Linked DNA regions of Ovis aries. The protein of the gene in region 3 interacts with the protein of the main gene of each other region in a biochemical or structural test. Links are inferred from orthologs where the notes say so. Each region holds a gene or a part of one and is shown on either strand. Other genes may lie near its edges. The genes, in order: PTTG1, MDC1 and CDC27.

What was found.
Region 1: the proteins of CDC27 (region 3) and PTTG1 form a complex in vitro, tested with the Homo sapiens proteins (3 studies listed by BioGRID). The link is inferred for Ovis aries from reciprocal best matches to the Homo sapiens genes CDC27 and PTTG1.
Region 2: the proteins of CDC27 (region 3) and MDC1 form a complex in vitro, tested with the Homo sapiens proteins (2 studies listed by BioGRID). The link is inferred for Ovis aries from reciprocal best matches to the Homo sapiens genes CDC27 and MDC1.

What each region holds. Positions count from the first base shown.
Region 1 is NC_056058.1:69,562,918-69,573,048, forward strand, and holds the start of PTTG1 (securin), read left to right. Parts: upstream 1-3,454; 5' UTR 3,455-3,566; intron 3,567-3,968; 5' UTR 3,969-3,978; coding exon 3,979-4,069; intron 4,070-4,977; coding exon 4,978-5,162; intron 5,163-6,892; coding exon 6,893-6,986; intron 6,987-10,096; coding exon 10,097-10,131. UniProt on the Homo sapiens protein: Regulatory protein, which plays a central role in chromosome stability, in the p53/TP53 pathway, and DNA repair. Probably acts by blocking the action of key proteins.
Region 2 is NC_056073.1:27,417,379-27,427,662, reverse strand, and holds the start of MDC1 (mediator of DNA damage checkpoint protein 1), read right to left. Parts: upstream 6,427-10,284; 5' UTR 6,088-6,426; coding exon 6,046-6,087; intron 4,543-6,045; coding exon 4,401-4,542; intron 4,035-4,400; coding exon 3,654-4,034; intron 3,569-3,653; coding exon 3,499-3,568; intron 3,209-3,498; coding exon 1,788-3,208; intron 999-1,787; coding exon 933-998; intron 768-932; coding exon 675-767; intron 1-674. Other genes in the region: TUBB (tubulin beta chain), read left to right, coding at 9,188-9,244. UniProt on the Homo sapiens protein: Histone reader protein required for checkpoint-mediated cell cycle arrest in response to DNA damage within both the S phase and G2/M phases of the cell cycle.
Region 3 is NC_056064.1:45,949,708-45,959,286, reverse strand, and holds part of CDC27 (cell division cycle protein 27 homolog), read left to right. Parts: intron 1-53; coding exon 54-168; intron 169-2,432; coding exon 2,433-2,566; intron 2,567-4,960; coding exon 4,961-5,060; intron 5,061-5,997; coding exon 5,998-6,205; intron 6,206-6,783; coding exon 6,784-6,956; intron 6,957-9,501; coding exon 9,502-9,579. UniProt on the Homo sapiens protein: Component of the anaphase promoting complex/cyclosome (APC/C), a cell cycle-regulated E3 ubiquitin ligase that controls progression through mitosis and the G1 phase of the cell cycle.

The DNA.
Region 1 (10,131 bases), on a different chromosome or scaffold from region 3:
ACCAGTTGGGAATTTCCCGGTCAGTACTGAAGAAGTAATCTGGCACGTGGCCCCTTTCCATTATCCCTTCAACCCCACTCTGCCTCTCAGTGGAAGAAGAGGCAATTAGCTGTGAAAACCTTGCTGTTCCTTCCTTTCTCCTCTCCAAAGAGGTCCTGGCCTATAAATAATCCTTTCTTTTAATAGCTCCCATGCCCCACCCTTTTTCCTCTAAAAATTTCTCAGTTTGTACAACCCCTTGGAGCACCCTTCTGATTTCTAGGTGGGAGGCTGTCTGATTCTTGAGTCATTTAATAAAACCAATTAGATCTTCAAATTTACTTGATTGAATTTTTTCTCAATGTTGTGCAGACTTGGTTTCAATATAAATATTTTTGTGTGCTAATGATGTAATTCAGAGCTGAGGCACTTAGAAGGAGATATAGGGAGGAAATAATGGGAGGGTTACAAAGGTCTAGTCAAAGCTATGGTTTTTCCAGTAGTCATGTATGGATGTGAGAGTTCCACCATAAAGAAAGCTGAGTACTGAAGAACTGATGCTTTTGAACTGTGGTGTTGGAGAAGACTCTTGAGAGTCCCTTGGACAGCAAGGAGATCAAACCAGTCAATCCTAAAGGAAATCAGTCCTGAATATTCATTGGAAAGACTGATGCTGAAGCTGAAGCTCCAATATTTGGCCACCTGATTCAAAGAACTGACTCACTGGAAAAGATCCTGATGCTGGAAAAGATTGAAGGCAGGAGAAGTGTTCAACAGAGATGGTTGGATGGCATCACCGACTCAATGGACATGAGTTTGAGCAAGTTCTGGGAGTTGGTGATGGACAGGGAAACCTGGCGTGCTGCAGTCCATGGGGTTGCAAAGAGTCGGACACTACTGAGTGACTGAACTGAACTAATAAACTAGGGATAAAAGAGGATATGGAAAGGGCAAAAAAGATACGCACTTTTCCTCCTCTTGGTGTCTAGCACAGTGACTAACATTTAATAAATATTTATTGAATGAATGAGCCATTCAATGTTTTGGCCCTGAAATGCCAGGGAAGAAGGGACAATGAACTGGTATATATTTGGAAACATATCTATGCCAGTTGTAGTGCTAAGGCTTTGGTGAAAGAGTAATGTAGGCTTAACTCCTCCCTCCCAACTTTCCTGCTAAGTTAAAAAGTATCTGGTGACCTGTTGGGAGTAGAGTTTGGATGGCACAGATCATCCTTGGTCTTTTGAATTGATTCCTTTATCTTGTTTAATATATTTCCATTTACTATTGAAGGACTTCCCTTGTGGCTTAGCTGGTAAAGAGTCCACCTGCAATGCGGGACACCTGGGTTCGATCCCTGGGTTGGGAAGATCCCCTGGAGAAGGGAAAGGCTACCCACTCCAGTATTCTGGCCTGGAGAATTTCATGGACTATCCACGGAGTTGTAAACAGTCAGACAGGACTGAGTGACTTTCACTTCACTTCACCATAGAAAGGAAAAGGTCACTAACTTTTCAAAGCAAAATTTCTCCATGTCTTGGAAATTGGAATTCATTTTGTATGTCTTTATAATTCCTCTGTTGTTTTTCTCTTGTTCACCCTTCTGTCCTTCCCCACCAGCTTTGATGAATATATTGTTGAGATGTTAAAGGTTTAAAGTAAGTATATTGGTACTTGCCTGGCAGTCCAGTGGATAAGACTCTGCTCTTACACTGCAAAGGGCACAGGTCCCATCCCTGGTTGGGGAACTAAGATACTGAATGCTGCGCAGCGCAGCCAAAAACAAAGTCCTTATTAACTGATAGACTTTCAAGTTCAGAATTGTGTACTCTTAGGTCATTGTTTTGTTCCTAGGGTTGCAAAGAGTCAGACACGACTGAGCAACTGAACAACAGATTCTGTATAATGGAGATAGCATCCTAGCCTGAAATACTGATAGTCTTGCAATTAGGAAAAAATCAGTACACTTAAAAAAAATTGAAGTCTAGTTGACTTACAATATTGTATTAGTTTCAGAATCACTCCATTCTTAATCACAAACACAACAGAATGACACAAACTTGCCACTTTATCTGTACTTTCATTTCTTCTTAATGTTTAATTGTGCTCTGTTAATATTCTCTAGATCTAATATGGGTTTTCCTCCCACTGACTATTTATTGACTATATATGTATTTTTTATACCTCTAATTTGAAATTCATCTTCCATAGTCATTTCCCCAATGACTACAATGCCTTTCCTCCCGTGCTGCCTCTTTTTAATTTGATCCGGTGTATCTACTCTCTGGAAAAACAGTTGATTACTTCAAGACTTTAGGAAAATAGTTCTGTCACCATCTCACTTTGACTTTTTGAAGTTCACTATCTTCTCATTTAAAAATGTCTTGGACACCAAAGACTTGGGCTTCCCTTGTGGCTCAGCTGGTAAAGAATCCGCCTGCAATGAAATTAAAGTATAATGAAATTGTGCTTTAAAAAGTTGGTGACCTTTTCCTTTCTATGGTGAAGTGAGGTGATAGTGGCTCAGTCCTGTCCAACTCTTTGCAACCCTATGGATAGTCCATGGAATTCTCCAGGCCAGAATACTAGAGTGGGTAGCTTTTCGCTTCTCCAGGGGATCTTCCCAACCCAGGGATGGAACCCTGGGGTCCTGCGTTGTAGGTGGACCCTTTACCACTTGAGCCACAAGGGAGGTCCTTTCTATGGTAAAGTGAAGTGAAAGTCGCTCAGTCCTCCTATTCGACTCTTTGCGACCCCATGGACTGCCATGGAATTCTCCAGGCCAGGGTACTGGAGTGGGTAGCCTTTCCGTTCTCCACGGGATCTTCCCAACCCAGGGACAGAACCCAGGTCTCTCGCATTGCAGGCAGATTCTTTACCAGCTGAGCCACAAGGGAAGCCCTTCTATGGTAAATGGAAATATATTAAACAAGATAAAGGAATCAATTCAAAATGAGGGAGACCTTGGTTCGATCCCTGGGTTGGGAATATCTCCTGGAGAAGGGAAAGGCTACCCACTCCAGTATCCTGGCCTGGAGAATTCCATGGACTGTATTGTCCATCGGGTCGCAGAGTCGGACACGACTGAGCGACTTTCATTTTCACGTCGCACACCAAAGAGTCTCAGGGAAAAAAAAATCGCAAAAGCCAACTCTGTATTTTGGTATAACATTAATAATAACTTTCTTGGAATTAAAGACTGTACCTACTCTCCTCTATCTCTCTGGGGGGGAGATTAAAAAACAACCATTAATAGACATCCACGACCAAGCTGTGAGAGGCTTTGATTTTTTTTCCTCCCGGGGAACAAACGAAGAACTTGCCGGGAAAAGCTTTCAGGGCGGAGCCCAGGGAGCTTAGGTTCCTACCATTGGTTCTTCCGGAGCCTCCGCCCCGCCCCTGTCCCGCCTCCTGGATGGATGAACCAATAGGGGTGTAAGTTGTGGTTTAAACGCGGAGTCTGGCGCGTCCGGTGGAGAAGAGTCTTGCGAGAGTTTGGCTGTTACTCCGAATGTGGGTGAACCGAGCGGTACCGAGTGGTTGGGCGGGCACGGTCCGGCGGCTTAGGAAGCGGGAGTAGGCTTTGTGTGTGTGTGGCGTTCGGGGCCTGGGAACCGGGGTCCGGGTGTCTGGGACCCGGGGCCTGGGATTTGGGGGCTGGGACTTCCCTGAAACGTCAGACGCGCTCGCCTGGCTTGAGCCACGGTTTTGAACTGCGTACGCGACCCACGGCAGTTTGGTTCCAATGAGTACCAGGGCCTGTGCCAGTCCCAGACCGCCAACTCTTAAGGAATTTAGGGTCCCTGACGCAGGCGTCAAGAATTAAGAGCTGGGTTAAATGCTTGTTGGCTCAAGATCCGGCTTCTACCTCTGCTTAGCTCCTGTTTTTGCGTAGATGTCCCTAGGGTAGAAAGTTGGGTCAGTGCTACACTTTAGCTTCTTTCATCTTCCCTAACTCCCAAGGTTTAACGAGTGTTTCACACCTCTAGTTGATCCAGAATGGCTACTCTGATCTATGTTGATAAGGAAAATGGAGAACCAGGCAGCCATGTGGCTCCTAAGGACGGGCTGAAGCTGGGGTCTGTGCCTTGTAAGTATACAGGCGGCTATCAGGTACACAGGTATTGTGAATCAGTGGTGGGTGTGGCTTGGAGCTGGGGAAGGCCCAAATATACTTTGTGGGCAGTTGGAGTCGTGCGTGCTAAGTCGCTTCAGTCATGTCCGACTTTTTGCGACCCTATGGACTTTGTAGCCCGCCAGGCTCTGCTGTCCATGGAATTCTCCAGGCAAGAATACTGGAGTGGGTCGCCATACCCTTCGCCAGGGGATCTTCCTGACCCAGGGATTGAACCGGAGTCTCTTAAATCTCCTGTATTGCCAGGCGGGTTCTTTACCACGAGCGCCACCTGGGAAGCCCAGTGGGAGTCGAGTTTACCCAATACTCTTACTGCCGAGTACTTATGGGTCTCTTCATGTTCAGTATCTTTTTTTAAAATTTAAGTTATTTATTTATTTTTGGCTGTGCTGGGTCTTTATTGCTACCTGGCCTTTTCTCTAGGTGCGATGAGTAGGGGATACTTTTTATTTGTGATGCCCAGGCTTCTCATTGCAGTAGCTTGTATTGTTGCAGAGCATGGGTTCTAGGGGATGCTGACTTCAGCAGTTGAGACACGTGGGCTCAATAGTTGTGGCACATGGAGTTAGTTGCTCTGTGGCATGTGGGGGTTCCTGGATCAGGGATCAAACCCCCGTCTCCTGCATCGGCAGGTGGATTCTTTACTACTGAGAAACCAGAGAAGCCCTCATGTTCAGTATCTTAAAGAGATTATTTAAGAGAGTAGTGAACTGAAATGGTGTTAGGCATAGGACCATGCCACTGTCAAAAATGGGGGTTAAGTTTGGCTGTGAGAATTAGGCCAAGTTGATAGGCACAGTCAGCTTTCAAGTTGCACAGGTGTTTACTGCTGGAATGATCTTATGGTAAGACTTTTTCTTTAGCAGTCAAAGCTTTGGATGGGAGATCTCAGGTTTCAACACCACGTGTTGGCAAAATGTTTGATGCTCCACCAGCTTTACCAAAAACTGCGAGAAAGGCTTTGGGAACTGTCAACAGAGCTACAGAAAAATCAGTTAAGACGGATGGACCGCTCAAACAGAAACAGAAAACTTTCTCTACCAAAAAGGTAAAAGTTGGCTATAATTAAAGACTAAAGCACTTTGACTCTTAAAATGACTACTGGCATCTTACCTGACACTCTCCTCTGTGAATGGAAGGAAATAGAGACTAGCAAATTAGATTAACAGAAGAGAATCATCATACAGTCTTTATTGACTTCTCTGTACCTTGAGATCACATGTATCAGGAGCAGCTGGTTAATATTTTTGCCTCACCTGTCTTTAACAAGTGTCTTAAAACAGACCAGTGAGTACTGTGAAAAGTGAAAGTGAAGTTGCTCAGTTGTGTCCTACTGTTTGTGACCCTGTGGACTGTAGCCTACCAGGCTTCTCTGTTCATGGGATTCTCCAGGCAAGAATACTGGAGTGGTTACCATTTCCTTCTCCAGGGGATCTTCCTGATCCAGGGATCGAACCCAGGTCTCGCACATTGGAGGCAGACACTTTAACCTCTGAGCCACCAGGGAAGCTTTTGAGTACTGTGAGAGAGGGTACTTTGCAAGAAGTCATGATGCTAGTATAACAGCTCAGGTGCTGCCATTCTCTTCCCCTCCTTTCAGAGCAAGCACTAGCTTTGTAGGTTATAACTTGGTAGCATGTTGACCTTTGTACATGTGTTTACAAACTGTAGGGCAGTGCATCCTAGACCGAGAGGACTTGGCTGTGAAAGATGACTTCAGCATGTGAATTAGCACTGCATTTCAGTAATTGTTTCAATGTGTATTAGGAAAAAAACAACTAGTATACTTGATGTCAAACTGTTAGGTGTGGTTTTAGGATAAAGATGTCTTTTTAAAAAAAACTGAGTTGAGTAAGAGAAATGCTAAGTGTAAGTATTGCAAGGATATAGCAAAAATGATGAGAATGTGACAGAACTGAAATGTGGGAAGCCTTGTCCTAGTAATTTCCTCTAGGCATGCACATGTGATGTGAGAATAAATCAAGACGCTACAAGCTTCCATTTTGGCCCACCACCATCATGGACTGCCTACCAGTTCCAGACTAGAGAATTATCCACGGTGGGCATCTTAAAGTCCTTGACTGTCTTTGACTGCCTCTTACTCAGTGTTGTGTATTTGAGGAAAACAAATTGGTTTTTAATATTAACCCAGTAATTTAGGTAACACTGATGGAAAATCACATTTCCAAAAGCCAAAAATGGCTTCTAGGATTAGTTTCTATTCTGGGTGATTTATGCCCATTTTCTCTTCTATTAGGTTAGGTTGGGCGATTGAGTCAATTAGCTCTGAATTAACTCTACTCTGGGGCTTCCCTGGTGACTCAGTAGTAAAGAATCCACCTGCAATGCAGGAGACTCAGGTTTGATCTCTGGGTGGAGAAGATCCCTTGGACAAGGAAATGGCAACTCGCTCCAGTATTTTTGCATGGGAAATCTCACGTCCAAAGAAGCTTGGTGGGCTACACAGTCCTTGGGATTGCAAGAGAGTCAGACGCGACTTACCGACTAAAAACAGACTCTGCTCTGTATTTTGATGATTTATGCTAACAGGTGCTAATACTTGTATTTCATCCTTACCTTTTGAGCCATGATAATTGATTGCTGAATTGTATTTGTATGTGATTTTGAGAATGAGGGATTATGGTTTCTTAGAAATTGAAAACAAATTTAAAATATGATGAAGCAATCCCATGTCTTGAAGAATCTCTCTAATCTCATGTACTAATCAGTTGACAAGGCTCCCACTCTTAAATGGATGTTTTCTTGGGTTTTTTTTAGATTACTGAGAAGACTGTTAAAGCAAAAACTTCGGTTCCTGCCTCAGATGACACCTATCCAGAAATAGAAAAATTCTTTCCCTTCAATCCATTAGGTACTCTTTTGATATTGTCCAAATGCTTTAGCTTTCAGTTTCTCTTAGGATCCAATTCAACTGTAAGTTGATATGGCTCTGAATATGATTTGTGATCTAAAACTATAACAAGGCTGTCTGAATCTGGGGTGCTTTGGACAGGTAACTTGTGGATTTATTTTTAAGGCATTATCTTAATTCAGAAGAGGAATCAGAGCAAAGATGGGAAAACATTCTTGTCCTCAAAAGCTAAAACCACCCAAGGGGAGATTACTTGTTCAGTGTTAGCAGACAGCCTTCCTAGCAAGCCCACTTTTAGAAAATGGACTTGATGTCAAGTTGAACAGTGAAAAGCAAGCCTGAAAAATCCACATAGCCAGTGAGAACATGTGCTTTTTGACTTCTTCAACCTCCTACATGTATCTGAAATATTTTCTATAATAGAGTCGGCTTTTTTCAAGCTTTAATGTACTCACATTGAGGAGAGTAGACTGTATGCCAGGCGCTATTGGCTTAGGATGTAGTGGATAACAAGGCAGGCCCCACTCTGAGGAAGCCCAAGATTTGGAGGGTAAGTCAGACACTGAACAAATCCTTTCACTTTGAGTGTGAGCCAAGGAGAAAAACAGGGCTTGTTAGGGGGCACTGAACCTAGCCTGAAAGAGCAGGGAAGTTGTTTTCTCATAAAGTGACTTTCAGTGGAGGCTTGAAGGATGTAAGGAGATAGTTGGGTGGAGAAGGGGTAGGGCTGGGCGCCAGCACCGTAACAGACAAAAGATCTTGAGGCAGAAAGAAGGACTGGAGTGGTTCTGGAAAACTGAAAAGTAGAGTGAAGGATGACACTGGTGAGGGGGTTGGTCAAATCACACAGGGTCTTTGAGATTCCTGAGCTGGTTTTTTTGCCTTTTGATCCAAAGAGCATTTAATTATTCCACTAGTATACATCTAGGCTGTTTCTGGCTTTTATATATGTTACAAAACAATTCTGCAATTATTGTTGAGAGTTTGTGAGTATACCTAGAGAGTAAACTCCAAGAAGAATTTCTGGGTCTCAAAGCTGTGTGATTAAGTTTTGATAAAATGTGGTGCATCTCATCATTACCATTCAGGAAAATGAGGTAGGTTTATGCATATTGAGGGCTTCCCAGGTAACTCAAATGGTAAAGAATCTGCCTGTACTGCGGGCGACCTGGGTTCAATCCCTGGGTTGGGAAGATCCCCTGGAGAAAGGCGTGGAAACCAACTCCAATATTCTTGCCTGAAGAATTCCTCCATGAACGGAAGAGCCTGGTAGGCCACAGTCCATGAGGTTGCAAAGAGTTGGACACGACTGAGCGACTTAACACTTTCACACTTTAAGCATATTGGCCAGGAAAGAGGACTACATACAATAGCTGTGTTGGCGGAAAGAGATATTGCTAAACTGCCTTCCAAAATAGCAGCGTAAGTTACTGAAACCACCTTCAGTGGATGAGGATGCCCGCTTTCCCCTTGTTCTCTAACTGCAAATGTTTTAAAATTGTCAGAAAGATAATTGGTATTTTGTTGTTTAAAATTGTGGTATGTGAGTGTGTCTGAGCATATTTGACTATTGGTCATTTATAGTTTTTAAATTTTCTGTTTGTATCTTTGTTTTCTCTTGATTTTTGTGACTTTCTTACACTCTGTGTCTGTGTGTGTAAAGAACTGTCTGTATAAAGATAATTAGCCCTGTGTGTTGCAGACTTATTTCCTCTGGGGTCTTATGTCTGTCTGTTTTCCTTTACAGTTCAGTGGTTTAAATTAAGTGGTCACATAAACTGTTTCTTAAATTTCTTTTAGGACTTTTACACTCTTAAAAATTAGTGAAGACCCCAAAGAACTTTTGTGTGTTGTTTTATATATCCTATATTTTAAATTAAAATTGAAAAGTTTAAAAGTGTTAATTTGTTAAAATACAGTAAACCCATTACATTAATGTACATAGCTTAAAACAAAATTTAATGAGAAGAGTGGCGTGGTTTTATGTTTTTGAAAATTTGCTTAATCTGGCTTAACATAAAACAGCTAGATTCACATGGGATTGTGCATTCCATTTGTTGAATCTGCTTCTGGTTGATGTATATGAAGAAAATCTGGCCTTTTGCAGCCATGGTTAGGAAAAGAGAAACATTTGAAGTCTTTTCAGAGAAGTATAGATAGTTTTCTTTGCTATTACACTAAAATTCAACTTGTGGCTGCTTCTGTATGCATAGTTGCAATGTAGAATCTGAAACCATTTCAGTAAGCTTTGTAATATTCTCTGACACAAATCCATTGTCTGTTTTGCACTTTGAATGTATCTTTTATCCTGCATTTGTCACCATTGATCATTTAGAAATACTGGTTTGCTGGGAAATGTAGTGCATCCACAAGTTGAAATGTTTCTTTATGCGTGTCAAAAGCACACTCATTAATGCTTACCACTGACCTCATCGGAAAAGTCTTCAGGACTAGGAAGCTGTCAAGCTAATGATTCCAAATAAGTTTTCTGAAATTCTAGGGGTTTTATTCCTCTTGAAACTGTGGATTTTATCACTGGCAACAAATACTTCTCTTGAACTGGTAGACTTTCATTGCTTGAAGAAAATGTGCAACACATATCCACGTCCGAGTTACCAAAGTTTGTTTTTCAGTTCGTTATAGTAAATGGTGTCCAGAAGTAACACCTCTGGTTTAGCTTGCAAATCAAATAATTGCACATATCTTTTTTCTTGGAAAACACCGCGGTACTTCAGTATATGATTTCACAACTTATACAGAATACTAAAAAGACATGTTTTCAAGGGTTGAGAGCTCATAAAATTAATACTTTTTTTACTGCATATGGTAAAGTGACATGTGAAACAGGCACTTTTTAAAAATACCAGTGAATGGTAGTGAGAAATATACTAAATATTTATTGCCACTGCCTTGATTTGTGCTAAGGCACAGAAGTTTTATCCTCTGTTGCTTTTGGATCACTATTGCAGATGTCAACACAGTGGGAAAAGGTATTAGTATTATTATGAAAATAGTTTGAGCTCCTGGGCCCCATGAAAGGGTCTCAGACTGGCAGGGTGCCACTCACCACCCTGAGAACTGCTGCTCTGACAAAGTGCTTTCTGTGGCAGATTTTGAGAGTTTTGACCTGCCTGAGGAGCACCAG
Region 2 (10,284 bases), on a different chromosome or scaffold from region 3:
AAATTTAAGTGAGTTATTAAAGGAAAGCTGGGAATAAGGAAGAGAGCCATAACATTTCACTGGTGGTCCAGTGGCTAAGACTCTGAGCTCCCAATGTAGGAGGACCAGGTTTGATCCCCGGTCAGGGAACTAGATCCGACATGCTGCAAGTAAAGAGTCCTCATGCTGCAACTAAAGACCCTGTGTGCCACCACTAAGACCCCGTGCAACCAAATACATAAATTAAAATAAGCTAGTTGCTAGAGTAGTTGCTCTCTGGGTCTGACTTAATGTAGCATTCTTTTCTGCTTAGATGGAGGAACATCAGCAAAAAAATGTCAAAGGCTATAAAGACAGGCTTTGGAAGGAATGATGCTAAAGCTGAGACTCCAGTACTTTGGCCACCTCATGCGAAGAGTTGACTCATTGGAAAAGACTCTGATGCTGGGAGGGATTGGGGGCAGGAGGAGAAGGGGACGACAGAGGATGAGATGGCTGGATGGCATCACTGACTCGATGGACGTGAGTCTGAGTGAACTCCGGGAGTTGGTGATGGACAGGGAGGCCTAGCGTGCTGCGATTCATGGGGTCGCAAAGAGTTGGACATGACTGAGTGACTGAACTGAACTGAACTGGACAGAGGGGAAATAAGGATGCCAAGTTAAGGGCACAGAAGAGGCGTGAGTTTCTCATACCTGTGGCCTGGGAGCTGCAACAGGAAGGGCCAGGCTCTTGGGGCAGAGGAAACAGGAAGGCCTGGGTGGGCTCATCCTCCATGCTGGGGGCTGCTACACAAAAAAGCATGGCCTGAGCACTGCTCCTCCACAGAACTCTGAGGGCCCATTCCCAGTCTTCTCTGCTGCCTATGCCAGCCTTCACATCCTTCAAGGACCACCAATCTAATCTCCCAGCTCCTGCTTGTACCAGTATCCACACAACAAAGATGGCCTCACCTTCCAGGCTCTGATTCTTTCTGTCTACAAAGCACTGGGTAGCTGGTAGGTCCAGATCTTCAGAATCTGGTGGGGAGGAATGCAGGATAATTAAAAAACCAGAGCTGATCCTAACTCCTTTTCTCTATAGTTCTCTCCACAGCCCCAATCCTATGCAATAGCCTGAATCTGTGTCTCCCCAAATATTCTTATGTTGAAACCTAATTTCCAATGTGAGGGCATTAGGAGGTGACTGGGAGGTGACTAGGTCATGAGGGCGCAGCCTGCATGAATGGTATTAGTGCAGGCTCAGCCGTGGCTCAGTGATAAAGAATCTGCCTGCCAATGCAGAAGACACAGGTTCAAGCCCTGATCCAGGAAGATCCCACATGCCCTGGAGCAACTAAGCCTGTGTGCCACAACTACTGAGCCTGAGCTCTAGAGCCCATACTCAACAAGAGAAACCACTGCAATGAGAAGTCAGTGTACTACAACTAGAGAGTAGCCTTGGCTCCACATAACTAGAGAAAAGCCAGCGCAGCAAGGAAGACCCAGCACAGCCAAAAATAAATAAAGTCATTTAGAAAAAATGAGAGAAAGACTCCAGAGAGCTCCCTTGGGCCCTTTTGCCATATGAAGACATAACGAGAAGACGGCTATCTGTAAGAAGCAGGGCCTCATCAGACACTGAATTTGCTGGTATCTTGATCTTAGACTTCCCAGCATTTAGAACTGTGAAAAATAAACTTCTGTTGTTTTATAAGCTACCTAGTCTATGGTCTTTTGTTATAGCAGCTCACATGAACTAAGATACGCTAGAAGCAAGAAGCATTCTTTATCGCAGACCTCCAGGGAGGAAGAAAGGCCAGCACTTACCGTGGAGGTTGTCTCCAGAGTCTGTGGCCCTATTCCCATATGGTTCTCTCTCCCTTCCTGTGGTGGTCTGGGCCCCCTCTCTCTGCGGTTGGGGCTCCCCTGGAGTGCCTATGTCCACCACCATATCTGCTAGGTCTTCCCTTGAGACCGGGAGAAGGTCTTGCTCCCCTGGTGCCGTGGATGACCCACCCTGGGTCCCGATGGCAAGTGCTCTGTCCTGTTCAGGAACGGCTGCAGCCCACGTGGTCCCAGCATCTTTTTCCGCCGGAAGCTGGCTCTTTCTGACAGCAGATGTGTTCTCCGAATCCAGTTCACAGTCCCCAGCTAGAGGAGGCCGGGCTTCCTCTAGACGCAGCACGGGGAGCTGTGCCGGGTCCCCTTCTGCCTCCGCATCGGTGTGATGTGGCCACACTATGCCTTGTACCTGACGCTTCTCCGGAAGTGCAACAGCTGGCCCCAGTGGGACCTCATCCTCCACTTGTGCAGAGGCCTGGCTTCTCTCCAGGTGGACCCCCGGTGAGCTCTCATCTTCCTTCCCCTCTGTATCACTGTCCCTGGGAAGGTGCTGGCTCTTTTTTGAATATTCCCTGTCCATGTAACCCTTGGGAACCATTCCCCTCCTTTCCACTGGGAGCCCCTCTTCCTCCACATCTGTGTCACTGTCTCCCCCAGCAGAGGCCTGGCTTCGCTCCAGAAGGGCCACGGGTTGGGCCCTGGTCTCTTCTGCATCTGGATCTCGGTTCCACTTACCAGCCTGGCTCTCTCTTAGACATGCCAGTGTCAGTGCTGCTGAGACTTCTTCCTCATCGTCTGTATTGCTGTCGATCACCACGGAGGCTTGGCTTCTGTCTGGGGGGGCCTCCCCCTCCTCTATATCTGTATCACCATCAGCTGGGCTCCCCTGCCAACGTGCCACACCAGGTGCCTGGGGGCTCTGTGTACCAGCTTCGTGGAAGATCTGCCTCTCCTTCATGGGAACCACTGCTGGGGTAGCAGGGATCCCCTCGTCCTCTCCATCGGTATCACTGTCTATGAAGTTACAAGACCAGGCCCTTTTCGGACGGACCCCAACAAGCCTTCTTCGAGGCCCACTCTCATCACTCACATCTGTGTCACTGTCCTCCCCAGAAGGCTGGCTCCTCTCCAGAATCACTCCAGTCGGAACCACCCCATTCCTCACATCCCTCTCGATTTCTGTGTCCCCGTTCCTCTCCTTCACGGAACACTGATCCTTCTCAATCTGGATCTCGGCTGTGACAGGTTCAGGCTGTTCCGTCTCTGCAGCGGTACCTCTTCTGGCAGCTGAAGAGGCCTCCCCTGCTCCTGATTCCTGACTTTCTTCCTCATCCGTGTCGCTGTTCAAGTTGAAGGCAGAAGGTGGCCCGGGCCCATCTGGGGCAGGGGAAGGCCCTTCTTCATCACTGTGAAGGGAAGAGAAGAAACCTATAGAATCGATTGCCCCAGAAGGGATATTCCACTCAAGTAGGAACTCCTTGAGAGCAGACGCAAGGTAGTACTTGCTGTTCTGTCTCCAACAATTAATTCTCTAGTTGGCACATGAGACGCTCAGTAAAAATTCAGTTGAGTGAAGGAGTATGTGTGGTTCCCCAGCCCAGACTTTGATGGTAATTAGCTCTCCCAGAGATGGCTCCTCCAGCCCCTGCTTCCTCATCCATCTGAAGACTCAGATGCCTGGCCCTTTGACACTCACCTCTCTGGAACGACTGTTGCCGAAGAGGAGGTCCTTGGTCCTTTCACCACACACTTGTCCAAAAGGGAATCTGTCATGAGTAGAAATGAGTAAGTGGAGAGTTTTACACTCACCGTCCCTGTCTCCTCACCCACCCTCCTGATACACAAACTTACCTACTTCTTCCTCTGAGTCCTCAGCCAACAGAAGCCTGGAGGGTTGAGTTCCTCCCTGTACCCTGGGTGTCTCCTCTACACTTAGAGGGCCCCGGGAGACAAAAGGCCGGGGGACATCCAAGCGATGGTACTGGCAGGGCAAGTCAGCAAAGAGAATCAACTCCCGGTCCCGCAAACGATGACTCACCCCAGGGCTCAGGACCTTAGGAGGCCGCAGGATTTGAGTGCCATTGAGGCTCCCGCAATCCCGAAGGACAGGCGCCTTGTCCCAGGCAGAGATTTCAATCACTGCATGTTGTTTGGATATTGATGAAAAGGGCAGGGCCACAGAGCAATCAGGCATTCGGCCTATCATGTTCTTTCCAAGGTAGAGTGGGAAGTCTAAGAATTAGAGAGGTAGGTGAGTTCCAAAGCCATACTCCTAACTTGCTATTAAGAAAAACATCTGTTAAGTTCCCCACGACTCACTCAAGGTCCCCCTCATGCATTAGAAAAATAAAAGGCCCTAGAATAACTAGCTAATAAAGAATATGTGCAATGCATTATTCATAGTCAACATTCCATCCATCTACACTGGATTGTTTCTATTGTGGTAAAATATATATAAAATTTGGGCTTCCCAAATAATAATGTCCCCAGTAAGACATTTTTTCCAGATCTCACAAATGCATATCTAAGCTTGCAATCATCCTATTACCTCCCCACAGAAATAAGAGGCCAGTACTTTAGCATGAAATTACTCCTGACCTTTTTCTGGTCCATAGGAACTACTGAAGATATGCAGCTGTGCTAGGGGCTCCAAGCTATACCCCAGAGATTCATTGGGGCTCTCTGCAACCTCCTCCTCTTCTTCAACTTCCCAGTTTAAAATCTGGGTGTCTTCCATGATCTGAGAAAAAAACACATTATCCCTTCCTTCAGTGGCTCACACACACAGCCTCAGGGAGGAGACTGGTTACTGCAGTCTCCTGGATAGCTATGGAGGCTGATGCTTCTCTTTCTGCCAATCATTCTGTTGTTATTCCTCTGAAGCATTTAAGAAATATCTCTGACCATGACACAGAATAAGAAAGAAATGTAACAGAGTTCCAAGTACAGAAATATAAGGGTCTTCCCTGGTTGTCCAGTGGCTAAGACTCTGCACTTCCACTGCTGGGGGGTGCAGGTTCCATCCTTGGTCAGGGAACTAAGATCCTGCATGGCCAAAAAACCAAAAAAAAAAAAAAAAAAAAACCACCCACAGAACACCAACAAAACAAACAAACAAAAACTGAGTTGAGAGACTTCTCTGGCGGTCCAGTGGCTAAGACTCTGTGCTCCCAATGCAGGGGGCCAGGGTGCAACGCCGGGTTAGAGAACTATAGCCCACATGCCCCAACTAAGGCCACACAGCATGTGGGATCTTAGTTCCCTAACCAGGGATTGATCCCTTGCCCCTGTAGTGGAAGCACGGAGTCCTAACCACTGGACTGCCAGAAAACTCCTTATTTTACTTTCTATTTCTCAGATAAAGAAACTGCAACAGGGATGGAGTAACAGATTTGTCTAAGATCACTCAGATAATGGGGCTTCCCTTGTGGCTCAGCTGGTGAAGAATCTCCCTGCAATGCGGGAGACCTGGGTTCAACCCCTGGGTTGGGAAGATCCCCTGGAGAAGAGAAAGGCTACACACTCCAGTACTGTGGCCTGGAGAATTCCAGGGACTGTAGAGTCAGATAAGACTGAGTATCTTTCACTCAGATAATGTCTCTTCCTGTTTAATATTCTTTGATGGTTTTCCATACCCATAGGATAAAATATATCTAAACTCCTTAGCAAGACCCTCAACGATCAGAACCTCATCTCCTGAAATGTGTGTCCCATCCCCACCCCGTCCAAGCCTGTGGTTCTACAACATGGACCTTCTCCTTAATCTCTGAACACACTGTCCTCGTTCTCTCACATCTGCAGGCCTTAGCCAGCTCCTTAGGACGTTGCCCCTAGTGTTGTGATCCAACTCCTATCCATCCTTTTAGCTCAAATGTCACTTTCGAAGCAAAGCCTTGCCTTTAGTCTTCTCTGTGTTCTGGTACTTTCCCCTATTTCCCATGTATCCTAAGTGTTTCACGGTGGTTGGTGGACTTATATTATCCTAATAGGTCTCACCATAGTGTAACTATTACATTCCATTTCTGCCTCACACATCCCCCTTGAGAACTGGACCAGTTAGAACTGTCTTTTCCCCAAGGGTCCATCATGTTAATTCAACAGTAGTTACTGTGTACCTGATACCATTAGAGATATTTCGAATACATTCATGAGTCAAACGTAAAATTAACTCTGCTCTCCTGATGAAATAATAAGATGAAAAGTCAAACTAGTATGGGTGGGAATTAAATTTGAAAGATGCTACCTTAAAGGGAAAATGTAGACAAGGAAAGTGGGACACCTCCATGGAGAAAGTGTTAACATCGTTTCATGAAGGCGAAATGAGCGGCGCCCACGACCTTCGGCTCCAATCCAATGGGCCTTCAACTTTGATCTCGATCCCAAGGGTTCCCTCTGAGCCCAACCTCTCCCAGTGTCTTCATACCTAAACTCAGGGAGGGCCGTCAAGTGAAGATGAGGGTTATAATCCGAGAAGCAAATTTCCAAGAATCCTCCGCCCAGTCGTAACCAAGGCACGCCCCTCCCGCCCTCCGGGAGAACCAAGATGGCATCCGGGGAGTCGTGGGCGAGGCCCCCCAGAACTCACCTACTTTGAGTCCCCGCGCGCGCCACCAGTAACGGCTGCGACAGGGGTGGTGCCAGTGCCTGAGCGGGGAAGGGGCTGATTAGCTGATTGGCTGAAGCCTTTGTCTTTCTCGGCCCTGCGGCAAGCAGACGGAGCAATCCAACGCGGAGGCATAGCCGGAGCCCCGCCCCCGCCCCGCCCCGCCCCCTTACGGCTCAAAGGGGCGGCTTCTCCGGGGAGACAGATCCGTTGGACGAGGCGGTAATCGGAAGCCTCGGAGGCGCACAGAATAGCGCACTTCGATTGGGCAGCTCCAAAGGGACAACCCACTGCGGTTTCACCACCCACTTCCCGCGTATATTTCCAAGTTGCGACCACAGAGTCTGGATGCCAGCAGCGGATAGAGGGGCTTACCACAGTCGTCGACCTAAGCATGTAGTGCGGCCAGAGCGCCTTCTCTGGTCCTCCCAGAAATGGTGTCCGCTGACTCATGAGAAATATAAGGGTTGCGGGCTGCAGTCGTGGCTGAAGACTTCAGTCTGGAGAATAGCCCGTAGGCGTGGCGCTTGAGGACTCACTACAATGGAAGTTCATTTCCTTTTGATTTAGCTCATCTAGAAGTCATGTCATTTCCTCCCTGAGAATCCATTCCTGATGGACACTTTGAGGTCATTATCCTAGAGTAAAGATATCTAGGCAAACGGAGAGAACTCTTTTGTTAACCATCTTAAAGGCTGACCGAGGTCTTTGAAGGGCTACAGAATGGTAAATTATTTTGCTAAATTTCATACTAAGACAATTTCACAGGAATAATTTAGGAGGACCTTTTGCATTAGTATTCTCACTTCGTTCTGACCAGAAATAAGAGTTCTGCGGAAGTTAGCTTGCCTAGGCTCCTACGGCTGTTAGAGACAAACTGAAACTGTTTAATCGTGAATTCTGAACTCTCTTCACTACCACAAAATAACTACTTTCACTGTGATTGTGCCTTCAAACATAAACATTTTAACTGGGTAGACGAGTTTTACAGAAATTTATGTTCTTTTATTTAGAAGATGAGAAATGTGTGTTGAATCCAGTGTGAATTAACACCTTGCTATCATCTAACCAAGTGCCTCATAGGTAAACAGCTCTCTTGCCAATTCAGGAGACGCAGGAGAAACGAGTTCGATCCCTGGGTCGGAAAGATTCCGCGGAGAAGGAAATGGCAACCAGCTCCAGTATTCTTGCCTGGGAAATCCCATGGACAGAGGAGCCAGGCGGGCTGCAGTCCATGGGGTCGCAAAGAGTCGTACATGACTGAGCACATACGGAGCCTGATATCCCATGTCCTTTAATCATGGTGCTTACCACACTAGTGGTTATACACTTCTCACCAAATTGCAAGATCCTGGAGGACAGTGAGGTAAGGTGAAGGTGAAGTCGCTCAGTCGTGTCCTCTTTGCGACCCCATAGATTGTAGCCTACCAGGCTCCTCCGTCCATGGGATTTTCCAGGCAAGAGTACTGGAGTGGGTTGCCATTTCCTTCTCCAGAGGATCTTCCCAACCCAAGGATCGAACCCGGGTCTCCCACATTGTAGGCAGACGCTTTACCGCCTGAGCCACCAGTGAGCTAATCCTTCATCCTAGCTCCTTTGGTGGACATTTAATATCGCTCAAGTTGAATTAATCCCTGAGAAGAAACATGCCACTCAGATTTGAGCTCATCCATTTTTTTCCCATCACCCTCCCTACTTTTATTTTAATCCCGAGGTTCTTGAAAGATTGCAATGGTCAACCACCTCTCAGTGAAATCAGCGAGTTGAAAAAACACTGACTTCATCAAAGTGCCTATCAGGTATCTCACCCCACAGTTCGCCTCTTGACAAAACTGTGTTAAACGCTGCTCTAAGGCGCAGATTCCCCACATGGACGGAGACTTCCGGCATATCTGCTTCTCTATTCTTGAACATACCTTCCAAACAATTACTTTTTATACTGAAAAGTCCTTGATGCAATTTTGTTTCTTTCTAAATATTATCGTTAGAAAGCTCCCAAGGAAATAGCAGGAAGGCAATGCCCTCCTCCTTCCCGAGATATCTGGGGGAGCCGGAGCTCACTGGAGTTCATGCCAGTTGGGTCACCAGGGACCAGCTGTTAGATAGCAGATCAGGGTGCCGCATTTCTCCCCGTTTTCGCTGAGCTAAGCAGTCCTGTCTTCCCAAGAGCTACCGCAGCGGGGAGCTTTCAGGGCGTGCCCTCACTCCACCTTCCAAAGCCTGGCACACCAGGGTTCCCAATTCCTGTACCCTGCTAAAACTACTCTCTTTTGATACCAGAAGAGTCAGGCATAGAGGAAGGAACCCTAGCGCCAGGCCGTTTTTCAGTCAAAACACCTAAACCAAAACCCCCAGACCCAGTACCCACCCATTCGTCCTTTCATTTTGCAGCGTGGACAACAATAGAGAACTACAACTCCCAGGCAGGACTGCGCTCGTCCAGCAAGGACCAATGGACTTGTGATACAGGACCGGCACGGACTAATCAGGGCCAGCCTAGTGAGGCTTTGTCTCTCCACCGCGGCGCGCGGAGAGTTCTCCCGCCTCCCGGCCCCCGCGCACGCGCGCCCCGCCCTGCCCGCCTTTCCTCCCGCGCCCTCCCCTCTCCTTTCTCCCTCTCAGAACCTTCCTGCCGCCGCGTTCGGACCTCGCTGCTTCAGCCTCCGGGTCCCGTTCCATCTTTTCACCCTGCGACCAGCAGCAGAGAAAAACTAATTCCGTATTATTTTTTTGCCCCGTACATACTTTGAGGCGAGCAAAAAGATTAGAATAAATTTTAACAATGAGGGAAATCGTGCACATCCAGGCCGGTCAGTGTGGCAATCAGATCGGTGCCAAGGTAAGGATTTTTAACCTCTTTTGACTGTATTTATTTTTAAGGAAAAAAAAAACAAATCCAAACAGGTATATTATGACGGATGGTTGTAGAACGTTTGCATCTTCCATTCTTAGTCCAGATTTGCCCCTCAAAACTTTTATATATAAATGCACCTTTGAACCTTAGGATTTGCTTTTGAAAAATGAGGAATTATTTTTCTTGGCAGGCTTATTTTGGGGAAGCTGTTAAAAGCACCCTTCAGGGTTAGGGGGCGGGAAAACCGAGTTTCTGTAAAATTTTACTTAGAAAGGGGATCTCCTAACGGTCCGAGGACCGGGGAGCGAGGGAGATGCGGAAACGGCCCGAGACAAAAGCTGGATGAGGTTTTCCCCATGTGCATCCCCCTTGGCGGGGCTTCGTGGGGCTAACCCAGAGGGGGGAAGGGGCGAGGATGGCGGGCAGCTGCCGAGAGGTCAGATCCAAATGTAGGGGCGCGCTGAGCCAGGTGGGCTGGGCGATATCCTTTACAAATGATCAGGAATCTCCGGGCGCTCGCGATCCCCAAGGGGCGGTCCCGCAGTTTTTCGTGCATGGAAGGCTAATATGTGCTAGACTAATTTGTTCCTTTTATTTCCCCTTAACAGACTCTTAAGGGCGTGGACAGATAGGGAGAAAGGGCGAGGAAGGAAAGGGAGTCCATTCTTTGAAGGGGTTCCTCAGAGCTAGAGAATAGGACAAAGGAAGAAAAACCTCATTTAAAGCAAGGGGGTTAAAAGCTAGCAAAGAAATGAAATTTCGAGGCCAAGGGGGAGGGTTTTTTTTTTTTTTGCGCGCGGTTACAGTGTAGCGGGGGAGGGGCAGGGAGGAAGTGCGGCTGCTACGTTGTAGCAGAAGGGCGGGACCCGGGCGCCCCTGGCGCGCTGGGACAATGCGGCCAGGCTGGCCGGCGGGGGGCGCGCGAGCCCGAGCCAAGCCCCGCCCCTGGCGCGCGGAATTCGCCCTTCGGCCCCGCCCTCGCGCGGCACCTCCCTTTGTCGGCCGCCTGGCGCGTGCGTGCGCCG
Region 3 (9,579 bases):
CTTTATATATGCCTTGATGACTTTTTGACACCTTGATTTCAACCTCTTCTCAGTTTTGGGATTTTGCCATTAGAAACCCCAAGTCCTGGAGATGGATCCTATTTACAAAACTACACTAATACATCTTCTGTAATTGACGTGCCACCCACCGGAGCCCCTTCAAAAAAGGTATTTTCCTTGTAAAATATAATGAATTGCTGTTGCCTTAGAGAAATTATCTAAATGTAAAAGAAGGTCATCATTATTATAGCCTCCTGGGTATAGTAGAAGACGCAAAGCTGGTTGCTCTTTTGACCACGTAAGTTTGTAACTCACAACTGTAGTTTATTTCAGCATATAGCTAATTAAGCATATTCAGATTTTTGCATTTAAGTTCCTTTTTTAAAAAACAAAATTAAGATGATCACTTTGAATGTAAATAATGGAAATTATACCTGCTGTGGTTTTTGCTTATCCCCACCAGTATATTTGTTTTTCAGTTGTACTAATATTAACATGAAAAAAGATGACTCACATAAAGCTAGCTTTTTGTGATAATAAAATTTTTATGGTGGATACTCAGGTATGGAGTTAAAGTGTAGTAAAATGAAAAATATTTCATAGAATCTTTATAGTAAATACTGCAATAAGACTGCATTGCAACTGTGACTCTTTTTATAATGTTCTTTTACTGTCTGTGGCAGTAGAGGCCAAAGTGAGGTTTATTTAAAACATATCTGTGGAAAAAAATAAATAAATAAATAAAACGTATCTGTGGTGCAGGGTATCTTAGGTGAGAATTAAATTAGGTTATATATGTAAATGCCTGTTGCTGTGCATAATGGATATTTAAGAAATGAAAGCTAAATGAGTCATACTGGTAGGCGAATGACTGCGATAGCCCTTTTACCCTCAGAGAAACATGTTTCTTCTTGTTTTGTTTTTACTCTTTTACTCCTGAACTTTAGCAGTGTTTTTTATATGATAGCTTCCTAATGAGTGATAATAGGAACTCCAAGAGTGGTAAACGTGAACTAAAAGTATTTAATATGGAAATTGTGTTTTAAACTGGATTTTTAAAAAGTTGACAACTACCTGCTGTTGTATTACTATGAAAGTGACATATATATGTGGAAATTAGTTTATTACAGTTATAAGAAGGCATAATAAGACAATGGTTAGCATGCCAGGGGAAGTAGGCCAAAACCATGAGTCAGAGTAATTAAGGACAAGTTAGGTAGTAAAGGCGTATATGGTTTCATTGCCCAGTCTAAGCCTCTTCTGCCCCTGTTCTTTTACTCTATTACAAGACATTCTTGGAAAAGCTATACTTCCAAATCTCCCTGCAGTATTAACTAAAAATATCAAACCAAGTAGTGAGTTCAGCAGATAGTTCTTTGTTAAATAAGGAAGGGCCAGAAAATAGGTGAAAATATTCAGTGGATAGTTAGTTACAGAGGAAAGAATATGACCAAGTGATAGATACAACATGACCATGCTCTCCTAGAGAAAGAGAGAGTTGCTAAGGAACTTAATTTAAAACAGTGGAACAAAGAGGGGCCAGCAAATGAAGTGGTAGAACAAATAATCAAGATACTATACTAAATATTTTAGAAATTACACAAAGTTTCAGAAGGGCGAGGCGGGTGGGCATGATCAATGATGTTAAATGTTGAGAAGGCCAAAATAAGGCTTTCAGTATGGTGAGAAAGTAATTATTAATGATTATTTATAATGTGTAATTTCAGAATTATATACAGTGACTATCACAGTAACTAATTTTTGGAGAAATTTATTGGTAGTAAAATGTTTTTTTTTCAATATTCGCTGACACAGATCACTTTATAAAAAAGTTAAGTGATGAAAATAAATAGAAATAAGGTGATAAATTAGAGAAGAGAGAAGGGACAAGCACAGTCCAGAAGATTGAACACATCAAAAAGAAATACTAATTCAGTGCAATATTCTTAGAATTTGGAAAATAACCCAGTGTTTTTTTTAATCTACTAATCTGAATTACTCTAAGACTGTCTTTATTAAGTGCCAAAGAAGGGGTATAAAATCTTACTTTATTATTTTTTATGTATACTAAATTAGATCATAACTCTTGAGAATAGTAGCTGTCTTAAAGTTTTTTAGCACTTAGCCCCAACTGGGAAAGTTACATAATAAATGGCCTCTAGGAATCTTAAGCCTTTCCTTGATAACTAAAGTCGAAAGATAAAAAGATAGTATAAAGGTAAAAATACTGAGCTTAATATGAGGAAATAGGATGATGTTCATTCTAATATATCAATAATTAATTAACCTAAAATGACATCAATAATGACATTAATAGTTTGTGTTTTCAAATGACAGTATATAATATGAAATCTTGTATTGGGGAAATGTAGATGGGTACATCATGATGTCTTTTACCACTCACAATGCAATTTATAATTCACAAACTTTAGACTTTTTGTGTTTTACAGTCTGTTGCCAGAATCGGCCAAACTGGAACAAAGTCTGTCTTCTCACAGAGTGGAAACAGTCGAGAGGTAACTCCAATTCTTGTTGCACAGACACAAAGTTCTGGCCCGCAAACAAGGTATTTATTTGGTCTCATAATTTGATATTGTTTAGCTTTTCTTGTTGTGAAACAGTTCTTCAGTTTAGGCAGGTTGTTTTGACTGCTCCAAGAATTCTGGAATGACTATTGTAAATTCTGAATATGTTAAATTTGGAATTTCCAACTTACTGAAAAAGGAAATTTAATTTTTGAATATTACAATGCAAATCAAGACAAGAGTTAGCTAAAATACCTTTTTATTCTAATTGCCTTGTGAGTTTGTTTAAACTAGATATTGTTAGCACTCCTCCAAAATAATTTTCTTTTTTTTTTATGTAACCTTCTCCACTGATCAAGTACAGATAGATTATTCTCCCCTTCCCCTATTATGCATTTCTATAAGTATATCATAGTATGAATCTGCCAATAAATCTTCAAATGATGAATCCATTTTCACACAGAAATGGTGTTAAATAAGATTTCTTTTCCTATTCAAGGCCTCAAAAATAAATTATAGCTAATATATTAAGAGAAAGCTACTTTACCTCCCAAAATAGTGAACATGTACCATAAGTCTTAAAATAGGTACACGTGTGCATATACCTTGACTATATAAAAGGCCTCAATATTTCTAAAATGCCTGGCTGGTAAGTCTCATTATGAGTGCCAACTCTCAGGTAGGTGGCAGTGATTGCCTAGGGCTCAGTGATAAGAAGGAGCCTGAGCCTCCTGCAGAGCACATTAATAGTCCAAATATATGTTAGTCTTCAAGAATATATAAACATAATTTACTGAATTATGCATTTCATTTAAACAAATATACTAACTGTAATACACATGAATTACATTAATTTTGCCTTCTTTGTATTACTAATAACTTTTTATCTTCTTAGTTGATGTATAGTTGATGTGTACCACTCTACCTTCTTTATTGCCTGTTTTAGTTTCCAACAGCTGCCCTAGCCAAGTACCACAAGCTGGGTGGCTTAAAACAACAGAAATTTATTCACTCACAGTTCTATCTGAAATCAAGGTATCGCTAGGGCCGTCACTAGGGGAGGATCCTTATCTCTTACAGCTTCTGGTTGCCCCAGGCATTCCTTATTTTGTAGTAGGCAACTCAGTATTTCCCTCTGTCTCCACGTAGCCATCTTCCCTGTGTGCCTCTGTATTCAAATTTCCTTTTTCTTATTAGGACATCTGTCATATTGAATTCGCGCCCACCGTGATGACCTCATCTTAAGTTAATTATATCCACAAAGACCATATTTCCCAAAAAGTTCACATTAAGAGTACTGGAGGTTAGGACTTCATCATATCCCTTTGGGAGACACAATTCAACCCATAACATTGCCTTATTAACAATTACTCTTTATCTTGTCGTTTTAGAGGTTGTTTTAGGGTTTATATCAGATATTTTAACTTATCAAAGTCTACCTTCAAGTAATACTGTACCATATCACTTAGAGTATAAACCTTGTAATGTATATTTTCATACTCGTCTTCTCAGTCTCTATGCTGTTGTCATATATTTTACTTCTACAGAGTGGTTAACATTTCCTGTAGTCTAGGTCTGTTGGTAATGAATTTTTTCAGCCTTTGTATGTTCAAAAGAAAGTTTTCGTTTCACCTTTGTTTTTATTTTTGATTGATATTTTCATGGTATGGAATTCTAATTGACAGGTTTTTTTCTTTACATTGCTCTACCGTCTTCTTGCTTGCATTGTTTCTGATAAGAAACTTCTTGCCATCCTTATTTTTGTTTCTGTGTATGTAATCTGTCTCTTTTCTCTGACTCTTAAGATTTTTTCTTTATCACTGATATTAATCCATTTGATTATGCTCTAGTGTGTTTTCTCCTTTCTTGGGCTTCAAATTCATTGAGCTCCTTGGATCTGTTAGTTGATAGTTTTCATCATATTTAGCTAATTTTTGGCCATTATTTCTTCAAATACTTTTACTGTCCATGTCCCCCTCTCTCATTCTGCAGAATAATCCCTTGATGTGGCTGTTTGAACTTACATGGTAATAACTTCTCAGGTATCAATTGTTCTAGTAATATTTATTTAGCAAATATCCCACATTTAGACTATGTCCAGCTTTGTTTTTCCTTAACTTTCTATAGTTCCAAATAAGGACTAAAGATAATTGGTTTATAGATGTTTACTATTTATTGACCCAGAACTTTTATGTGGATTGTTTTATGTTTGAATGAGCAATTTCAAATAGAGTGAAGATCTGTGCTATAATTTATATCATTTTATGGTAACAAGAATAGTTCTTTAAATGAGTTTTCATAGGAGGGTGAGGAAAGGATTGATCTCATCAATTTTAGAATACAAACATGTTGAATGCATATTTTTAATATACTTGAAATAATAATTAATGGTCATAAACAGGTTTTTTAAATATCTACTTTTATAATTTTTTTAGTACAACACCTCAGGTATTGAGCCCCACTATCACATCTCCCCCAAATGCACTGCCTCGAAGAAGTTCGCGACTTTTTACTAGTGACAGCTCTACAACCAAGGTAATTTAAAAATTTCTGTATGTCACATTTATTTAATACTTCCTCCTCTGAAATTTCTGTTCATCGATGACTCAGTCTCTAATGAATACATTAGGAGACCATTTAACATTTTTTTAATGTTAAAATTACAAAATTACAGAGATGGAGAGGAGATCAATAGTTACTGGGAGGTAGGACTGAGGAGAGGATGTGTCTTTTATAGCATAGCACAAAGGAATCTCTTTTTGTAGTGGTAAAATAGTCCTGAATCTTTATTGTGGTAGTTGATTAAATAAATCCATACATGTAACACAATTTCACAGAACTGTACACACCGAAATTTTTTAAAAGGTCCATGTGAAAACTGATGAAATCCAAGTAAGATCTATAGTTTTAGTTGCTAGTATTGCACCAATTCCAGTTTCCTGGATTTGATGGTATACTGTGGTTATGTCACATGTTTCCATTGGGAAGGATTGTGGGAAGAGTGAATGAAAATTTTTTCTTTGCACATTTCTTTGGACAACTGGAGAGTTTTATACCTTTGGTAAATTTTCTTCATCCATTGACAAATATTACGGACAGTCTTTAATTGTGACATATAGATCAGCAGTTTTATACCTTACAGATTTCAGTGCTCTGAGACAATTAGGTAGTTGTTGTATCTCCTTACTTTCTTATTTTTAATTAATAAATGAAAGTGATATACTTTGAATAAAGAGAAATGCTTAAAGCTAATGTAATAAATACTAGTTAGTTAATATGATTTATTTTCAGAATTGTTGCATTTTACATTAAGTGACTTTGAAGACTTTTGTTTTTATAAAATTTTCTGAGAAAAATGTAGATCAGTCAAAACCATATGTTTATTTTATATCTAATACTTGAGAAAAAGGGTTAGATAGATGTTTAAAATACATGAGTATAACAAGTTATTGAATTTTCCTTCTTGTTACAGGAGAATAGCAAAAAATTAAAAATGAAGTTTCCACCTAAAATCCCAAACAGAAAAACAAAAAGTAAAACTAATAAAGGAGGAATAACTCAACCTAACATAAATGATAGCCTGGAAATCACAAAATTAGACTCTTCAATCATTTCAGAAGGAAAAATCTCCACAATTACCCCTCAGATCCAGGCATTTAATCTACAGAAAGCAGCAGCAGGTCTGTTTTAAAAGCTTAAAATCTTCTTTATATTTTATTTTATTCACTTGTTTTAAGTAAGTTCATTTATGTTCATTAAAGAAACATTTTTTCTGGGTAGATGCTGGCATTTTTTTCCTTTTTCTTTTTTGGTCATTTTCTTATTTACTCATTTTTAGTCTTGGCTGTGCTGGGTCTTCATTGCCGCTGTGTGGGCTTTTTCTCAGGGGCTGCTCTCTGGTTGCGGTGGGTGGGCTTCTCGTTGCAGTGGCATTTCTTGTTACGGAGCACAGGCTCTAGGTCCATGGGCTTCAGTAGTTGCAGCATGTGGGCTCATTTGTTGCAGCTCGCAGGCTCCAGAGCTCTGGTTCAGTAGTTGTGGTGCGTGGACTTAGTCGCTCTGTGGCTCGTGGGATCTTCCTGGACCAGATATTGAACCTGTGTCTCCTGCATTGGCAGGCAGATTCTTTTCCACTGGGCCACCAGGGAAGCCCAGTGTTGGAAAGTTTAATGAAATATTTTTTAATTAGCCTTCCTAGAAAACCAGGCAGCTTTATTGTGTTTTATTTTCCTTTGTTTACTACATTATTTTCTCCCAGAAGGTTTGATGAGCCTTCTTCGTGAAATGGGGAAAGGTTATTTAGCTTTGTGTTCATACAACTGCAAAGAAGCTATTAATATCTTGAGCCACCTACCTTCTCACCACTACAATACTGGTTGGGTGCTGTGCCAAATTGGAAGGGCCTATTTCGAACTTTCAGAGTACATGCAAGTAAGTATTTAAAAAGTTACATATGCCTTTCTAGAGGTAATTTAAATTTAATTAAAATTATGTTTGAGAAGGCTAGATCTGAAGGGTCAGTATTTATTTTGTAATGTCTTTATTTTGTCAGTATTAATAACTTATCAGTTCAGTTCTTTCTTGTGTTAAGGGTAATTTGAATTCTTTGGGATTACTTGAGATAGATTTGTAGAGAACCAAACTAATTCTTACATGGAACATTTGTACTCTACTTACTTGGATCTGAAAATATGTATTTACCATGTAAATAGACGTTTATAATCAAAATTCTTTCTACTATATAGAGAGCTTACTGGGATGAATTTTTGGTACTTAGTATGTTTTATAAACTTAATACAATGAAGAAAGTTGTAAGTAATTGAGGATATAATGTTCTTATTGTAAGGTTTTATCATTTTAATTTTAATTATATTTGTTGCTTAAGTTATCTCTTTAAATCAGGTAAGGAGAGGATGATTAACCTAAAGCCAAAGAAAATTCTAATTTATTCCCCAGTTCTACTTTCAAAGCACTTCCTCACCCACCTCTAAACTTAAATTAGAAAAACCTTTAAAAAAAGCTTTAAGAAACCTAATATAAATTATTTAAAGTTGATAATAAGATCACTTGTTTGCCCTTTTTACTTTCAGCATGTATTTGAGTGCATATTATATCCCAGACTCTCTTCTATACTGTAATATAGCTAGACAGATAATTGCTTGCCTTCACAGAATTTACTTTCTAGCAAGTGTGCATATGCTAAGTTGCTTCAATCGTGTCTGACTCTTTGCAACCCTATGGACTGTAGCCCACCAAACTCCTCTCTGTCCATGAAATTCTCCAGGCAAGAATACTGGAGTGGGTTGCAGTGCCCTCTTCTAGGGGATCTTTCTGATCCAGGGATTGAATTCATGTCTCTTAAATCTGCTGCATTGGCAAGCAGGTTCTTTACCACTGGTGCAACCTGGGAAGCCCCCTTTCTAGTAAGAGAAATTATAGGCCAATAAATGTATAAGGACACAGCAATAAATCATATGAAGGAAAAATGAAGCATGGTAAGGAGATTGGGGAACAGTGAAGTATGGTGCTATTTTTTAAAAAAACATGCTCAGAGAAAGAAGATTATTGCTCCTTTAAGGAGCCATGCAGAGCTCTAGGGGTGTAGTATTCTTCCAGGTGGAGAATAAATCCAGAAGATACCTATTCTTGTAATTTTGAGTAATAAAGAAAAAACAATTGTAGACACCCTTTTTCATTGCTGAATTGTGATTTTTTTACTTGGTACATAGGTATAAGTGGGGTTTGGCAAGCCTTTTCAAAATTATTTGTTTCGTGGGTTCTTAACATGAATTTTTGTGTTACTCCTAATCATAGAGCAGATGTAGACCCAGATATTTAAAGGAAATCTTTGTTTCAACTTAATTTTTAGTTTTGTTCCAGTTTTCCTTTCTGTCTGTGGCATAATCATTTTTCAGAGGAAACAATAGATTCTGAAATATTTTAAACCAGATTTTTAAAGCCTGTACTTGACAGGTGGTTAGGTCTGTTTTCTTGTAACCAGTGTGTGTTTGAAAAAATGGAAAATTTATCTGTATAACTTTTAAGGAATTTCAGGGGAGTCACAAGTTTAAGCTAATTCTAGATGATGTATGGCCATATCATAAGAATTCTTATTCTTATGGCCATATCTAAGCATTCCTATTTTACTAGTTTAATGAATGCTATTTCCTTATCTTGTCATCTTCATTTCATTAAAAATAGACCTGATATTCCTTATTCTAAACTAAGTTTGACTTTCAGAATTTTTAACGAATTGATAAACTGGGGAGCTAACTGGTTTCATATAGCCCAAAGTCTCAAACTTCAGGGGAGAGAAGCACAGTTCTGGAAGCTGTGAGTGTGGCAAGGAAAAAACTTTGACATGCTAGCTGAGAAGGGACCCTAAAGTCAAGAGAGTGCTGCAGAAGAAAAAGGAGTTTATATTAGGCAGGGACTGTAGTTCCTAGCAGGTACGACAGTGATGGAAATATTCAGTGCTCAGTATGCCATAGGGTTGACAGCCACCCAAGCCTATTTTTCCCTTGAAGTGTTCAACTTAACCTCCTAATAAATGTACAAAAATAGGTTTTCTCTTGCAGAGGTCGCTTGTCTCTCACCTTTCCAGAGAGTTATTCTATAAAGCTGCTATAAAAATTTGGAATAATGTTTTTTGAGAATAAAATAATTGACTTCTTTTTAAATTTGTCTAGATCTTTCTTCTTTCTTTTTGGTGGAAACAATTTTTTTTTTCCTCAGAATTTATGTTCCTACCATGACTTCTGTATAAAAAGTAGGTTAAGTATGAATATGACTGCATCAATATTTGACCTACCATAGAAGGTTACTCAATTTGGCCATGTGTTGGTGCGAATTCACATAAAATTCATGTGTAAAATAAGGCAGCATTTAGGTCCTATGAGAATAGTGCCCAGCACTCTCCCAGTATATATGTAAATTGTATCAACTTGTTTTCCTCTTACTAATTTTTATATTTCAGGCTGAAAGAATATTCTCAGAGGTTAGGAGAATTGAAAATTACAGAGTCGAAGGCATGGAGATCTACTCTACAACACTT